Tamandua tetradactyla: one gene and its partner. The protein of the gene in region 1 interacts with the protein of each later gene in a biochemical or structural test. Links are inferred from orthologs where the notes say so. Each region holds a gene or a part of one and is shown on either strand. Other genes may lie near its edges.

Evidence for each region.
Region 2: the proteins of MAGI1 (region 1) and ADRB1 interact in a test that uses a peptide from one of them, tested with the Homo sapiens proteins (2 studies listed by IntAct). The link is inferred for Tamandua tetradactyla from reciprocal best matches to the Homo sapiens genes MAGI1 and ADRB1.

Annotation. Positions count from the first base shown.
Region 1 is NC_135341.1:18,498,654-18,506,245, reverse strand, and holds the start of MAGI1 (membrane-associated guanylate kinase, WW and PDZ domain-containing protein 1), read right to left. Parts: upstream 3,048-7,592; 5' UTR 2,445-3,047; coding exon 2,132-2,444; intron 1-2,131. UniProt on the Homo sapiens protein: Plays a role in coupling actin fibers to cell junctions in endothelial cells, via its interaction with AMOTL2 and CDH5. May regulate acid-induced ASIC3 currents by modulating its expression at the cell surface.
Region 2 is NC_135339.1:76,001,794-76,009,482, forward strand, and holds the start of ADRB1 (beta-1 adrenergic receptor), read left to right. Parts: upstream 1-4,686; coding exon 4,687-6,072; 3' UTR 6,073-7,689. UniProt on the Homo sapiens protein: Beta-adrenergic receptors mediate the catecholamine-induced activation of adenylate cyclase through the action of G proteins. This receptor binds epinephrine and norepinephrine with approximately equal affinity.

The DNA of each region.
Region 1 (7,592 bases):
GATGAGGTAGCCCTGGACAATATCTCCTAGCTCTTTGCTCACTGGGAGAAAGAGGAGGCTTAGCCATATACATGATCTTGCACACTGCAAAGAAGGCCCCATACAGGACCACTGGACACTGCTAGACACCCTCCAGATGGCGCAGGTAACCCTGCCCATCATCTGTTCTCCAGATCTTTCTCCAACATGCTCCTTAACTGAGACCTGCAGGGCACTCCCATCCAATGCTTCACGCAGTATTTTCTCTACAACGCTATTAAGCCTTAATAATCCAGGCTTCTGGCATAGGTTTCTGACATTAAAAGGTAGTCTTAAAAATAAGAAACAGTTAAAATTAAATTTAAACTTATTCATAGTTCATTTTTACTGAGCACTTACTAAATGCCAGGCAGGTACTGTTCTGCATACTAAATTAGCTTACATAATATCCACAAGAAAACCATTTTACAGATGAGGAAACATTTTCAGTGGTGATGGACCTCAAGAAAAAGCCTGGGGAGGTATATGATGTATGACGTAGGGTCTCTTGCCTCAATGAGGTGCCAAATGGTATGGGAGATGAGAGGAGGAAGTTCTGAGGAAGTTAATAACTACAAGGTACATCACATTAAGGGAACCTAGTAAAGTAAGGATTTGTTCAGGATGCTGGAGGGCTTCAGGAGGAGGCATACAAGGGGAGGTGAGGATAAATGCATGAATTTTCCATAACTAAGCTCCAGCCCTCAGCTCCCAAAGCTCCCAAAAGTTCTGGCAATTCCCTCTGCCCCCTCCTCCATTTCACCCAGTACAAGCCTGATTCCAAGAGAGAATCAGCCCAGACCTTCTTTCCCTTGACACATTCTTCCAGCAGCTGCCCACCCTGCCAACCCAACAGGCACATGTAGGAGCTTTTCACCATGCTCAACTTTGCCACCTCCTTGGCACTTTCATGGGGGAGAATATGCATCATGCTGTCTGATCCCACGCAAGCCACTGGGATCCCCTTAAGACGACTCCAGTCGTTTTCTGTTGGGTTAATATATATGCCCCAAACCAAGAAGATTAAGGGACACTCCACCCACCGCCACCCCTCAAAAGCTTCTTCCATCCTTTTAGTGGTCCACCCCTCCTTTATGGGCTTCTAAGGGAAGAATCTGTGTCCTCCCTGTCTGAAATCAGCCCCTGCAGTTCCTCAGGACCATCCTCCCAGCCTCCAGAACCCTTCCTCCCCAATGCTTAAGGTTCAAATCCTGGGATGTGGTAGCTGTGTGACCTTGGGCAAGTCACTTAACCATTGTCAGTTCCCATTTACTTATCTGTAATATAGGGTTTATAAAAATAACTCGGCCTTAGAATTGTGACTCAAAGCAGGATCTTGCAGGTAAAGCATTTTACACAGAGCCTTGCATGTAGTAAGTGATAAATGAATGGCTGCTATTGTTTTCATCATTACTAATGATGTTGGTGGTGATGGTGTTAGCCTAAAACTTGGGCTTGATCTGAGGTTTGAAGGACGTGCTCCCTCCTCCCTCCTTCCCCCCCCCCCCGTCCCAGCCCCCACTGGGCCACCCGGTGGAGACACATGCGTCATCCAGCTGTAGGGTGAATGCAGGATCTTCAGAGGCTGACTTAGACTCTGCCAGGCGGTCAAGCCCAGTCCACCTGGAGGGGCTGCGAGATGAAAACCGATTTTCTGATGGAAGGGATCCAGCAAACCGGAGACCCTCTCCTGCCTCACACCCACTCTCCAGGTCTGGAAACAAGTCAAGTAGCAGAAAAACGCCAGCAGCTGCGCCCGCTGCATTCCTCCCCCAAGGAGCCGGGAGAGTGCCCACCTTTGCCCTTGTCTCAGCTCTCTAACTCTTCTCCAGACACGGGAGAGGTTGAGCTGCGCTCGGCGGCTAAAATAAGCTAGCACATTAGGCCTAGGAAATGTGTCCTTTCTTTCCTGCGCAAACCCTGGACGCCTCTAACAAACGCAGGTAGGCAAACAATCCAACAACTTTGAGTATCTCTCCACCATAGAGCGCACCGCCTCAACTTCCCCGTTAGCTTCACTGCGAGAAGAGTAGCGGAAATCAAAGTTAGGGGGTCAGGTCGTAGGCCGCCCCCATCGGGGGAGGGCGCCACCGTGAGGTACGCCCCATCTTACCTTGTCTGACGGCTTTGAAGGTGACGGCCTCCTTGCAGCTGTCGATGACTCCCAGCACGTCATAGCGGGGCAAGCCGGACACCCGGATCCCCTGCACCTCCAGAAGCAGCTCCCCTTCGCCCAGCCTCGGGCCCTCGCTGCCGCCGGGAAGCCCCGGCGTCTCCGCCGCCGCCACCGTTCCGACATACGGAAACTCCCCATTCTCAGCGCCCCCCAGCACCGTCACCCCCAGCTCGCCCTGGGGTCCCCGCTTCACGGTGCATTCGTGAACCCTGCTAGTCCAGTGGTTCTTCTTTTGGATCACTTTCGACATGATGAGGTACACCCCTCCTCCAAAAAATAAATAAATGAGAGACAGGTGGCCCCCAAGCACAAGCCCCCAGAGCTCCGCTGGTTCATAGGAGAGAGATCTCCCTCCAAATAACGCCACTCGAGAGCGAAAGTTGGCAGCCTCGCTTCCCTGCACACACTCGTGCACTCAAGCCATCATAAAACAAACTTTCTCGGCTCCCCCGCGAGCCCTGCACAGGCACCCGCGAGCTTTGTTTGCATTCCGGTGCCTCTTGGTTCGCGTTCCGGCGCCCGACCCGGCTCTCCAGGACCAGAGTCCACTCTGCGCCGCTTGGGTTATTTTTTTTTTTCCTTCCTTCCTTCCTTTCTTTCTTGCCGTTTAGAAATGCGGTGCCTCCTCTAACGCCTCCCGCCTGGCTCGCCTTTCCTCGCTGCTGGGTTGTTCTTGCGGTTGAGGGAAGCCCTTCCAGCCCAGTTGCTTGGAGCCCTGGAGACGCGGTCGCGGAGCGGGGGTGGGGGAAACTGGAGGGAAGTGCGGGCGGCCCCTTTAAGCAGATACAAAGGCTCAGCTTGTTTTGTTACATTTCATTCTATTCCGCGCCGCGGAGCGCTGCGACCGGCGAAAGCAGACGCGCGCGCATGCGCCCCGCCGCCGCCGGCCGGCCAGCCCGCCCCACCCCTCCTTCCCGGAGAGAAAGATTCCAGTGTGCTTCCCGTTGGGTCCTAAAACCGACCTGTCTGGAGACACCCACTTACCTTCCCTCTTCACAACCCCCCTGCTTTCTCCTCTTTTTTCAATGGCCGGAGATTCAGCAAAACCCTTCAGGGGTGAGAGGACACTCAGATGTTTTGGCCAAACTGTTTGCAACTTCTGAAACACGGACAATCCGGCTTTGGGAGTTCAAAATCATTTCAAACAGGTGGGGGTTGGGAGGCTCATACACTCACCCTCGCGCTCGAACTTGCACTCACGCACACACGCACGCACTCACGCCGGCCCTAAGCCTCCTAACTGCTCTCGGCCGGTGACTGGCCAAGCTATAGGTCCTCTAAACCCCTGAGACCGACCCGGAGGCGCGATCCTGCTGCTGCCTGCTCGGCGGGATCGGGTCCTGGTGTAGGTCTGCTGCACTCTCTGCCACCCGGGGGAGGAGGGCGGTGGGGTCTCCTGGGCCTCCCCAGTGTCCCTTGAGAATCACGCGCCCCCCTCCCACGCACCCACCAGAACCTTTAAACTTTGGAGCCAACTTTTTAGAACAGACAGAAAAAGGCGCGCTAGAGAAGCTAAAGGGTGAGCGGAGATTCGCATCTCCGCAGTTAGATAGGAACTAGATTTTGAACCGTACTTCCATCAAAGACTTCGGAAGCCAGCCACCTGCCCCGGGCTCAAGCTCCCGGAGGAGGCAGGAAGCCTTCGGGGGACAGGAGATAAGGATCGCTACCAGGTCTGGGAACGACTCCCGCGTCCTGGCGCCCGCGGCTTCGGTGCGGCCACCGCCTCTCGGAATTTGCAGCCGCCGGGTCGCTGCTGCCTGCGGCGCCGCGGCGGGGGTGGTGGGGGTAGGGTGAGAGCTCGGAACGAGCTTGGTGGCCTCGAACAGAAAGAATACCCACCGCCCGGAAAGCTGCTCTCTCCAAATACCACCTGGGAGGCAGTACCCCAAGCAATTTCTTCCCCCCCTTGGAGATTTGTAACCTGTTTATTCATCTTTGGTCACAGGAGAGATTCTCGGTGCTAAATATGGATGGTGAGTTGAAGGGACAGAGAGCTGCTCTCTGGAGTTTATTTAGGTTCCCAATGGTCCGCTCTCTCTATGACTTTGGAGGAGCTCCTTGACTTCTCTGAGCCTCCCCTTTCTACTCTGTAAACCAAGAGTTCTGGAGAGCATTACATGGGAGAATACTTGTAAAGTGCTAAGCTTGTAAAGTGAATACTTGTAAAACGGCATTTAATTAAAGTTCTTTATATTTATTGGTATTATTATTTGGAAAGGGAATTACGAAAGCATTTGGGGTTCCAAGTTAGGCGATAATCATACCCTCCTTTCTAGAGCTTAAAAATATGTAGGCATATATTTAAATAATGTTAAAGCCTGTTTGTATGGTGCTATTCTAAGCTAATAATAATAAGGGAAGAATGTTGATGCATCTCTCTTGGGATATCCAAGACTGAAAATCCCATTTTTCGATAGTGTTTCTGAAAGATTTTCCGTGGCCCTCCTTGGTAAGCAGAATTTCATTTCCAGCCTCTTTTCTGGGAAACAACTGCCTCAAATCTGACTGTATATAAAAAATCAGCAGGGAGCTTCAAAATGCAGATTTCCAAGCCCAACTCCAGATTCATTCAATCAGAATCTCAGGAATGGACTCTAGCATCTGGGTTTTTAAGGATTCCCTCAAATGATTCTGGTACACAACACTGAAGGCCACAGTTTCAATATCATGATTCCTAAGCATTTTTTTGTGTCACTGACCCTTTTTGAGAATATACCTGTGGTCCATCTCTCTCTAGAATGTAAGCTACAGGAGGGCAGGGAACTGTGGCAGTAAACTTTGGTTTTACTGATATATCCCCATTTCCTAGAATAGTGCCCAGTGCCTGGTAAATGTACTAGGAAACTAGTATGTAAATCTGTTTTGAAATTGAGTGATACACTTGCTCCATTGACTTCCATGCACTTGAGTGAAATACCCCATTTTCACAGAGCATTCACCTAGTGTTCTACAAAACTAGTGTGTAACTCACTTTAAAAAAAGTATTTGTTGAATAAGTCTTCCCAGAAAAATGTGCTTTTGGCATAGCATATTGAAAGGCAAATCACTAGGAAGTATTGACCTTGCATGCTTTCCTACTTCCTCATTCCATATTTTAGTCAAGTCTGCTAGCCAGGAATTCCCCCACCTGTCTGGAATCAGTGTTAAGGGGAAAGTTCTTAGAATTAGGGTACTTCAGATTTTAGATGTGGAATAGCCCCAAGAGAAGGGGTACCTGCAAGTACAGAAGGCAGGATAAGTGGAATAATCCAAGAAAATAAAAAGAAATCATTTGAAACTCCAAAGCAACCAAAGCTGCCTATTTCCAGGCATGTTCAACCTCTCTGCCCCTCCTCTTACCCCTTCTGTTCTGTCCTGTTTCTCCTGGTCTAGTTCCTTTGTCCCAGACAGGAAACTCCTTCAGGACAGAAATCCTTTGAATCATCAGCACCTAAACCATGCCTCCATGCACATACTGAATGAATGAATGGATAGATGAAGTGTGACATTAAGCTGTATAATATGTGGCCTTGGACCCAAAGTCAATTTAGATTTGGTAGCTAGAGGAAAAGTACTTGTAGATTATTTTCTTCATAGAGTGTATAGTTATCTCGTTTTGAAGTACATTTCCCTTGAATAAATGTAAAGTAGCATCCTACCGTCCCAATGTTTCTCATTGTTGCTATGACTTTAGCAATATATTCTGATGAGGAAATAATACCATAAGGTACTTAACCTTGGGGTTTACCATGTATGGCAGGATTTTTGCCTGTATTATTTTACTTAATCCTCACAACAACATCATGAGGTAGGTATTATGATGAATGACCCTGCTTTTGCAACTGAGGCAAATGAAACTGGGGATGTGAAGGAATTTGCCTAAGGTCAGAGTTTGGAAGTGACAAAGCCAGCATGTGAAACCAGAGACATGCCCAAAACCCATGCCCATAACCACCGCACCACTGGAGTACAGGGAGTGGGCATTCATCCCCCTTGAACATATTTGGTAACTACATCTTCTTGCTTCTTGAGTCTGCCATATAGTGTGTGCATAATAATTGTCACCCTCTTCTCCATTGTCTCCATTCCTTCCCTTTAATCCGAAGGGATACAGTGTTCCATTCAGGAATCCAGTCTCCTGTATCCCATCTGTGGGCTTTGACAATGGAATAATTTACTGGAATGTAAAGAGGATTAACTTGCAAACATTTCTAAAGTGTTTGTAGATTTGTGGGCTGCAGTATAGGTAAAGTGCCAAACATTTTTATATTGTTAATGCACAAGCATTTCAACAAAAAAACTCTTAATATAAAACACCATGGATTCAGATGAGAAATAAAACTATGGCACCCAATATACTCTCAACAAATTAAGATCATGTTTTCCTATGATCTACTAGAGGGAGGAAAAAACCCTGTGGATAGGAAATGTGTATTTCTCCTTCTTGTCCCATTCCATTTCTTCCCACAGTTTTCCAGGGGTAATTAAAGAAACATATCATTGCAGTTTGAAGTGGTGCTTCACCTTATTTTGATGAAAATGTGAGGATGGGAAGTAAGTGGTTCATCTGTGGAGCAAAGTAGCAAACATAAATTTGTTATCCTTCAGTTTCTGAAGAATGCAGCCAGGGGCTACCTTAGAGATAGGAATTTAAGTACTTTGTTCCCAGTAAGGTAGCTGACTCCATGATGGTGGCCTAGAGCAGAAGACCTACCGGGGAGGGCAAAGCCAGCATTTCAGGTAGAGAGTAAATGGCAGACGGTGCCATTTTCCTAGTCACCTCTGGAGGCTTCTCTGATTCCCATAATACCTGTTCTGTCCCTCACCAGGGTGGCAGATGGGCAGTTTCCTCTGCCCCTAGTATTCCTACCTTTAGTTATTTCAACTAAACTATAAATAAAATACTAATTTTTGTGACCTTTCAAGACATCACATGTGAACTATTATTTTAATACCCCAGAAGAGGAACTCTGGGAATACGGTTTAAATAGGGTTTAAATCCTGGCTAATGTTCATGTTCGCCATTTTCTGGTTCAATATCAAAAAAGGAATATTGATAACTGGAAGATCTGGAATTAGATGTAAGGTCTAATCTATTTAGGAACTAAGAGAAACCCAAGAATTTATCTGGGGAATCACTCCTAAAATTCCCCCAAATTGTCCAGCCGTCTAAAACATTAGGTATCCCAAGTTAAAAAGATCATCCTGCCTAATTCTGCTGAAAATATGTCTGATGATATTGCTAATTTCTTTCAGAACAGTAAATCAGCATTTTCTTGTGAACAGACATTTGTAGCTCTTACTCTCCTGCCCCACTTCTGTAAAAATATGGTAATTTGGACAAGGTAGATGCTTAAATAAGATTTTATTATCAAGGGTGTTTGCTCCCTGATATTTCTTCCTCTTTCTTCTTGTG
Region 2 (7,689 bases), on another chromosome or scaffold:
ATGTCTTCCCACTGAAGCAGCCACTTGAGCTCTGATTAGCAAATCCCACCACCTATTAGCAGTGTCACAGCAATTTTAGCTAACCAGGAGATTTGATGTACTTCAAAGTTTACTTAGAAATCTCCAGTTACTCACCCCGACTTCCTCTGCCCCATCAGCCAGCAGTTATCCCATTAGTCTGTTCACTTTTAATTTTAGCCCTTTTGCTGGCAGCAGTAACACAAGAATGGAATGTCTTTGCCAGCTCCATGGCACATAGGGGTAGAATGGGTCAGATGCCCACTGATCACTGTTCTGCAGACTTTTAATTTGATATAGAACTTGACACCAGATTCAAGTCATTAGCTATTCTCCCAGGGCAGAGATGGCTGGGTATATAATACCGTAAATGAAAGCAGAGGGAAAAATTCCCTTCATCTTGATCGTTTGTGAAGATAAGGTAATACTTTTTATTACTGTGATCTCGTATTGGCCCCTTTAGAAAGCCCCTTGCCTATACCTTACTTCATTCATTACTAAATAGGTATGACAAAAATTTTTCTCATGAGCCTCTCTTATATTTGTAAAGTGTTTTCGAAATGCTTATATGAAAATATCAAGTATGCTAAAGGTTTATTATTATGAATGGTAAGCATGAGTAAATATTTTAACAATCAAAACAATTATTTCTCATAAGTATGAATATACATTATTAAATTAAATATTAAATATTTGTGAACCAGTACTAAATATTAATTAATAAAAATAAATATTAGTAATTTGAGGGGCTATAAAAATGGGTGGGCTAGTCCTGGCTCTCACTGAACTTACAATCCATATGAGAAAGCAAGAGAAAAACATGTAAAAATTACACAAGATAGCAATATAAGAGATCTCAAAAAGCAATATATTGCTAATTGCCTCCTGAATGGCAAAAATCATAGTTAAGCATTGTAGGACAGAGGAAGGAGAGACCATTTCCAGAAGCAGTAGTCAGGGAAGATAGCAGGAGAAGACCTTAGTCAGATCTTGAAGGCTGAATTCACTGAGGCAGACATGGAAGAGGGAATTCTTGGTGGAAGGAACCCAGGGAGAAAAAGCACAGATGCAGGAAAGGAAAGAGTACTGGGGTGGTTTGAAGCTGTCTGTAGCCCATTAAAACATGCTCTTAAATTTAATGCATTCCTGTGGGAGTGGAACCCATTGTAAATAGGACCTTTTGATGAGGTTCTTTCATTTAAATTGTGGCCCACCTCAATGAGGACAGCTCTGAAATCCTATTACTGAGTCCTTTATAAGCAGAGTGAAATTCAGACAGAGAGAGAGTCACAAAGGGAGCAGCCAGAAGCTGAACATCAATGAAACCCAGAAGAGAAGGGAGAGACCAGAAAATACCACCTATGCCTTGCCATGTGACAAACTAAGGACCTAGGGTCACCAGCAACCAGCCCCAGAATGCCACAGTCTTTGGGGAGAGAGCACTGTCTTGATGATGCCTTAATTTGGACTTTCTTTTAGCCTCAAACCATAAGCTAATAAATTCCCACTGTTGAAGCCTACTCACTGCATGGTATTTGGTTGAGCAGCTTAGGAAACTGCAAGTTAAGCTGATGTAGAGCGTTCTAATGAGAGAGAGCGCTGGAAAGGAAGTTTGTGGCTAGACTGTGAAGATCTCTGAAAGCCAAGTTGAGAAGTTAGGTTTCTAAACCGAGAAGCATCTTAGTCAAAGCAGTACTTTCAGAACATTAATTAGACTATGATATGCTGGATTCAATGCAGGGGGGAGGCCAAATAGAACCCACAAGTTCAAATACAGGTGATGGCGGTGGGATAGGTCTGGTGAGGTGGAGGCAGGGAATATGGAGGAAGGAGTACACTATTTCTTAAGTGTGCTGATTGGAATTATTGTTGGAGTGCTTTGCTATATTCTGAAGTATTGCCAAATATGTGGGTTCCTAGGAACAGATTCTCTTTAACAGCTATGGATGGGAATGGGGAGATAGAGGAGTTATTCATTTTGAAGAGGCAAGCCCCCAAACATGTAATACCTGTCTAAGTTGAAACGCTGAACCTTTTCCTCTTTATCTTGTGTCTTCATCTAAGCACAAAAAAATCTAGCAAAAAAAAAAAAAAAAGATCAAAAAAGCCATGAAATATAAGAATTAAAGGTCACTGGGAAGATTTTATTTTAAAAGAAAACTAATTCAAGTTGCTACATGGTGTGCTTATACATTTACTTAGGCAGGAGAGTCCTTACCTTGCACAGTTCTTCACTGCAAGTCCACAACCAAGGTCTGGCCTTATCTCTTCCAGAAATGCAGCTCCTTCACCCTTCAGGGGCACTTAAGGTTGACACTCTCTATTCTGGTAGCACCACTTGACAAAAAGATGGCACCCAATGGAAAGCTTTTTCCCCACACCCTCACCCAGCAGCCAGGCACTCAACCCTCTTCCTGGGCAGCATCAATTTCAACCCTTTCCAATTCCTTGGCTATTTTGAGACTGTCCGTTGAGGTTCTGAAAGGTGCCTGAAGGGGAGACTCAGTTTGAAAAGACTTGGGTAACTAAGAATTCAAGCCTGTTCCTCTCCTCTTTCCAGCCCCTCTTGTTTCCTTGTTTCCCTTCTTCAGTCTCCCCAGATTGACAGTACTAGGGCAGGGGTGAATAAACAAATAAATCACTCCCTGGTTATAACATTCTGAATATCAAATTTGAATCAAAAGCAAATTTATATGCTTGGATTTCGGAGAAAGTAGTTAAAAACTGCTTGACTTTGTAAAGTTAATGAGCTTTATTTTCTGCTCTTGAGTTGGATAGTTGTAGAAATCAGCATCTCTCTGCAAGGTAAGAATATGTTTGGTCTAGATGTTGATGTTCCTTCCAGAAGCTGTTTTTAAAATTTCAGTGCTAGAAAGATGTGTGAGCATTGAATACCATTTTCATGCACCCCTACATGGAAAACTAGAAGTTGATTATTTCTCAAAGATTTAATTAAAGATCTTTAATTTGAGGACATTACCAGATCCAAATTAGAGAAAGGGTTTGCAGTCTCCTTCCGGCTTGTATTGGTGACAATCCTGTCTGTCCCTTCATATAATCCCCACACAGCTCAGCTAACAGCTCATTCATGTCAAGCTGATTCAATTGCTAATTCAAAACCTACTGTTACAGCTTTAAATCCTTTCGTTTTTCAATCATCTTGAATATTTACATATTTCCTTCTCTCATCCTTCCAGGACTAATCCTAGAGTTTTGAGAATCTGGAATTTGGGCACAGGAGAAAAGATGGCTCAGACCAAGAAATCTGAAGTCTCAGGTCATTATTTCAACCAAAACTGGCAGTTCCTTTTTGTTTGTATTGACTCAGCTCCAATATGAAATCACATGCGTAATAAAAAACAAAATACAGGTGTCATTACTGAATGTGAAAGGTCTGAAATGTAATTAAATGTGTTCTTTCTTCACGGCGGTGCCATTTACTTTTTATGTCAACATTTGTTTCTCTAAATCTCTCTATATTACCGACACACACTGTTGCGGCATATTCACACATTCATTAGCTGGGACTGGGGAGTGTGTGTTTTTGCAATTGATCCTCAGCGTTAGCTGTTAGGAGCAGAAACCTTAGCTTCCTTTCTGCATCTACTGCACTGAAACGACTGAAGATCCCTGCAAGAACAGCGCCAGAGAGCGTTCCGACAGATGAGCGGTTTGCTTAACGCGTTCGGCTGGAAAGTTTCCTCTAACCACCTACACCTGCCTCTGATTCCCCGAGCTGGCAGGACGCAGGCTGGCAAGGTCCCCTTTTGGCAAGGAAAGGGCTTTACACACACCCATCTGGGTTGTCTGAGAAACAATCTCGCAGTCAAACTCCTCCAACCCCAGCGGACAGACTGTCCGAGGAGGAGCTGTGGCGCTTCAAGAACACGGAGGTTCCCTCCCGGCTAAAGGGAGTGCGCGCGATGCTCTGCGGGAGACCCGGGCGCTGGAGGTAAAGGACGCGCCGGGAGGGTGGGGGGACTGAAGGGATGGGCGGGAGGCAGCGGGAGTGCAGACAGAAGCCGAACGCGGGAGGCAGAAATCGCACGCAGCCGGGAGCGGAATACTGGAGGGAGAGGGAGCCGCAGAAGCCGGCTGAGAAACGCGCAGGAGCTGGGCGCTGTAGGGGGCGCAGGAAACTGGGCGCTGGGGCCCGCGGTGCGGGACGAGGCGTGCGCAGGACCCGGCAAACCCCAGCAAGGCGCTCGCACAGCGCTCAGCAGCTTACTCCCCCTCCCCGAGCCGCTCCAAAGCGCTGAGAGGGAGGTGCCGGGGACTGGGGAGGACCAGATAGGGGCGTGCCTTTGCCTCGATTGGCTGCGGGAGCTTGACGCGATGCCCCGGGGGTGGCTTGGAGGAGTGGGAGCCGGTGGGGTGGGTGCTGGGTGCCGGAGGAGCGGGCCGGCGCGCTCAGAAACATGCGGAGGTCTCGGCGGTCGTTCCAGCAGCGGCAGCGGCTCCAGCAGCAGCGGCGGCGGCGGCGGCGGCGACAACGCTCGGCTCCCTCGGAGAAGGCGCCCCGCGCCGATGCCTCGGGCCCTGCGCCGCGGCTGCGCTGACCTGGCCGCGACCTTCGTCCGCGAGCCCCGCCGCCCCGGCTTCTGGGGTACTCCCCCAGCCACGGCCCAGCCCCGCCACACACCCCGCCCCCGGCCTCCGCAGCTCGGCATGGGCGCGGGGGCGCTCGCCCTGGGCGCCTCCGAGCCCTGCAACCTGTCGTCTGCCGCGCCGCTCCCCGACGGTGCGGCCACTGCAGCGCGGCTACTGGTGCCCGCGTCGCCCGCCTCGTCGCCGCTGCCCACGTTGAGCGAGGTCCCCGCGCCGCTGTCACAGCAGTGGACGGCCGGCATGGGCCTGCTGATGGCGCTCATCGTGTTGCTCATCGTGGCGGGCAACGTGCTGGTGATCGTGGCCATCGCCAAGACGCCGCGGCTGCAGACGCTCACCAACCTCTTCATCATGTCCCTGGCCAGCGCCGACCTGGTCATGGGGCTGCTGGTGGTGCCGTTCGGGGCCACCATCGTGGTGTGGGGCCGCTGGGAATACGGTTCCTTCTTCTGCGAGCTCTGGACCTCGGTGGACGTGCTGTGCGTGACGGCCAGCATCGAGACCCTGTGTGTCATCGCCCTGGACCGCTACCTCGCCATCACGTCGCCCTTCCGCTACCAGAGCCTGCTGACCCGTGCGCGGGCGCGGACCCTCGTGTGCACCGTGTGGGCCATCTCGGCCCTGGTGTCCTTCCTGCCCATCCTCATGCACTGGTGGCGGGCCGAGGGCGAAGAGGCGCGCCGCTGCTACAACGACCCCAAGTGCTGCGACTTCGTCACCAACAGGGCCTACGCTATCGCCTCGTCCGTGGTCTCTTTCTACGTGCCCCTGTGCATCATGGCCTTCGTGTACCTGCGGGTTTTCCGCGAGGCCCAGAAGCAGGTGAAGAAGATCGACAGCTGCGAGCGCCGCTTCCTCGGTGGCCCCGCGCCGCCAGCCTCGCCCGCCCGCTCGCCGGGGTCCCCGCGCGCCGCCGCCCCTCTGGCCAACGGACGCACCAGCAAGCGGCGGCCCTCGCGCCTCGTGGCCCTACGCGAGCAGAAGGCGCTCAAGACGCTGGGCATCATCATGGGCGTGTTCACGCTCTGCTGGCTGCCCTTCTTCCTGGCCAACGTGGTGAAGGCCTTCCACCGCGACCTGGTGCCCGACCGCCTCTTCGTCTTCTTCAACTGGCTGGGCTACGCCAACTCGGCCTTCAACCCCATCATCTACTGCCGCAGCCCGGACTTCCGCAAGGCCTTCCAGGGCCTGCTCTGCAGCGCGCGCCGGGCGGCCCGGAGACGCCACGCGGCCGCCGGCGACCGGCCGCGCACCCCCGGCTGCCTGGCAGTGACCCGGCAGCTGCCGTCGCCAGGGGCCGCCTCCGACGACGACGACGTCGGGGCCGCGCCGCCCGCGCGCCTGCTGGAGCCCTGGGCCGGCTGTAACGGCGGGGCGGCGATGGACAGCGACTCGAGCCTGGACGAGCCGAGCCGCCCGGGCTCTGCCTCGGACTCGAAGGTGTAGGGCCCGCTCCCCGCCACTCTAGCCGGGACGTGGAGTCTGCACCCCGGGGGAGGAAAGACCCAGCGTTCCCGAATGGCTTCCCAGGGAAAAGAAAAGGTCTGTGTTTACTCAAGACCGAAGGCAGGTGAACTCAAAGCCCACAAACCTCGTCTGAATCATCCGAGACAGACAGAAAAGCCACGGACCGTTGCACAAAAAGGAAAGTTTGGGAGGGGTGGGAAAGTGGCTTGCTGATTTCTCTTGGATTCTTTTCTGTTCGTGGTTCGGCCTTCTTTTGCTTGTGCTTGTAATGCATCTTAGATTTTTTTCCCCCTCGCAGGTGGTCACACCTGCTGCAAAGACCTGAGTGCAAATTGGGTGGGAGGGGAAAGGAGAAGCTGTAGGGATAGGGATGAAAGTCTATCAACTTAGCTTCCATCTGTTCTCAGGAACAAGAGCACAGTCAACCCGGCTATGGCCCGGGAGGGGGAGGGGAGGGGCGTGAGACAGTTTGTCAGAACATGTTCCTTTTTGCTTTCTAGAGAACTTTCTCTCAAACTCTCAAGTAATGATATCCCCTGTTCTTAAAGCAAAGAGAAAGGATGGATGCAAAAATCAAGTTTCAAGAATAAGCTATTCTTGGAACAAATCTCACCTTGCTTTCCTTTTGTAGGGCAAACTTGCTGTCCCCCGTGCCTCGGGGGTCAGGCTCTGGGATTTCTACCTCACGCTGTGCATATTGCACAGCAAGCTAAAAGACTTGTTTATATTAAACAGCCTATTTATGTATCAATATTAGTCGGAAGGACCAGGCACTGAGCCTCCATAACATGTGATTGTCAATTGAAGACAGGACAGAAAAGAAAAAAAAATGGGGGAAACAGTTCTAATATCAAAACAGATTACCGTACATTTGGATAAAAATAAAAAATAAAACAAGGAGTAGTTCAAAATGCCATTTTTGCACAGTGTTAGAAATTACAAAGTCCACAGAAGATGTTATTTGCACAAAGGGAAATTAAATATTTTTAAAGGGGGGTGCATCTTAAAAGCTAAAAGTTAAAACTCTACTTCTGTTGTCTATTATATTATTGAGCTAATGATTTATTGGTAAAATATCTTTTTATACTCTTTTATCATGGTACTGTAATTGTATCCATATTATAACTATACTTATCTTAAGGGTTTTTTTTTTAATTTTTTTATGTCTAATTGCCCACGTGAATATGTTGGTAAAATTTAGCACTTGTGTGTAAATTCTATTTCCTCTTGCATATTTTGCCAAGTATTTATACTCTGGTGCAACTAACTACTGTGTGAGGAATTGGTCCATGTGCAATAAATACCAATGAAGCACAATCAAGATTATGTACCATGTGCCTGTAAGGGGTCAGTGATAGTGGAAAAGACAGCGTGTTTTGCTCAAAATACAGATCGGATTTCCGATATAGCTCTTTGAATAGCTTTTCATGACTCGATAACATAGCAAAGTGCTTTTAGACCAAATATACTTGCCCCTACTGAGCGCTGCAGATTCGCCCTAATTTTTCACAGCCGGATTTAAAGTATTCTAGACTACTTGTAGGCGTTTTCAAGATTCCATCTGCTGCACTTGACTTAAGTAACATTTTGGGGATT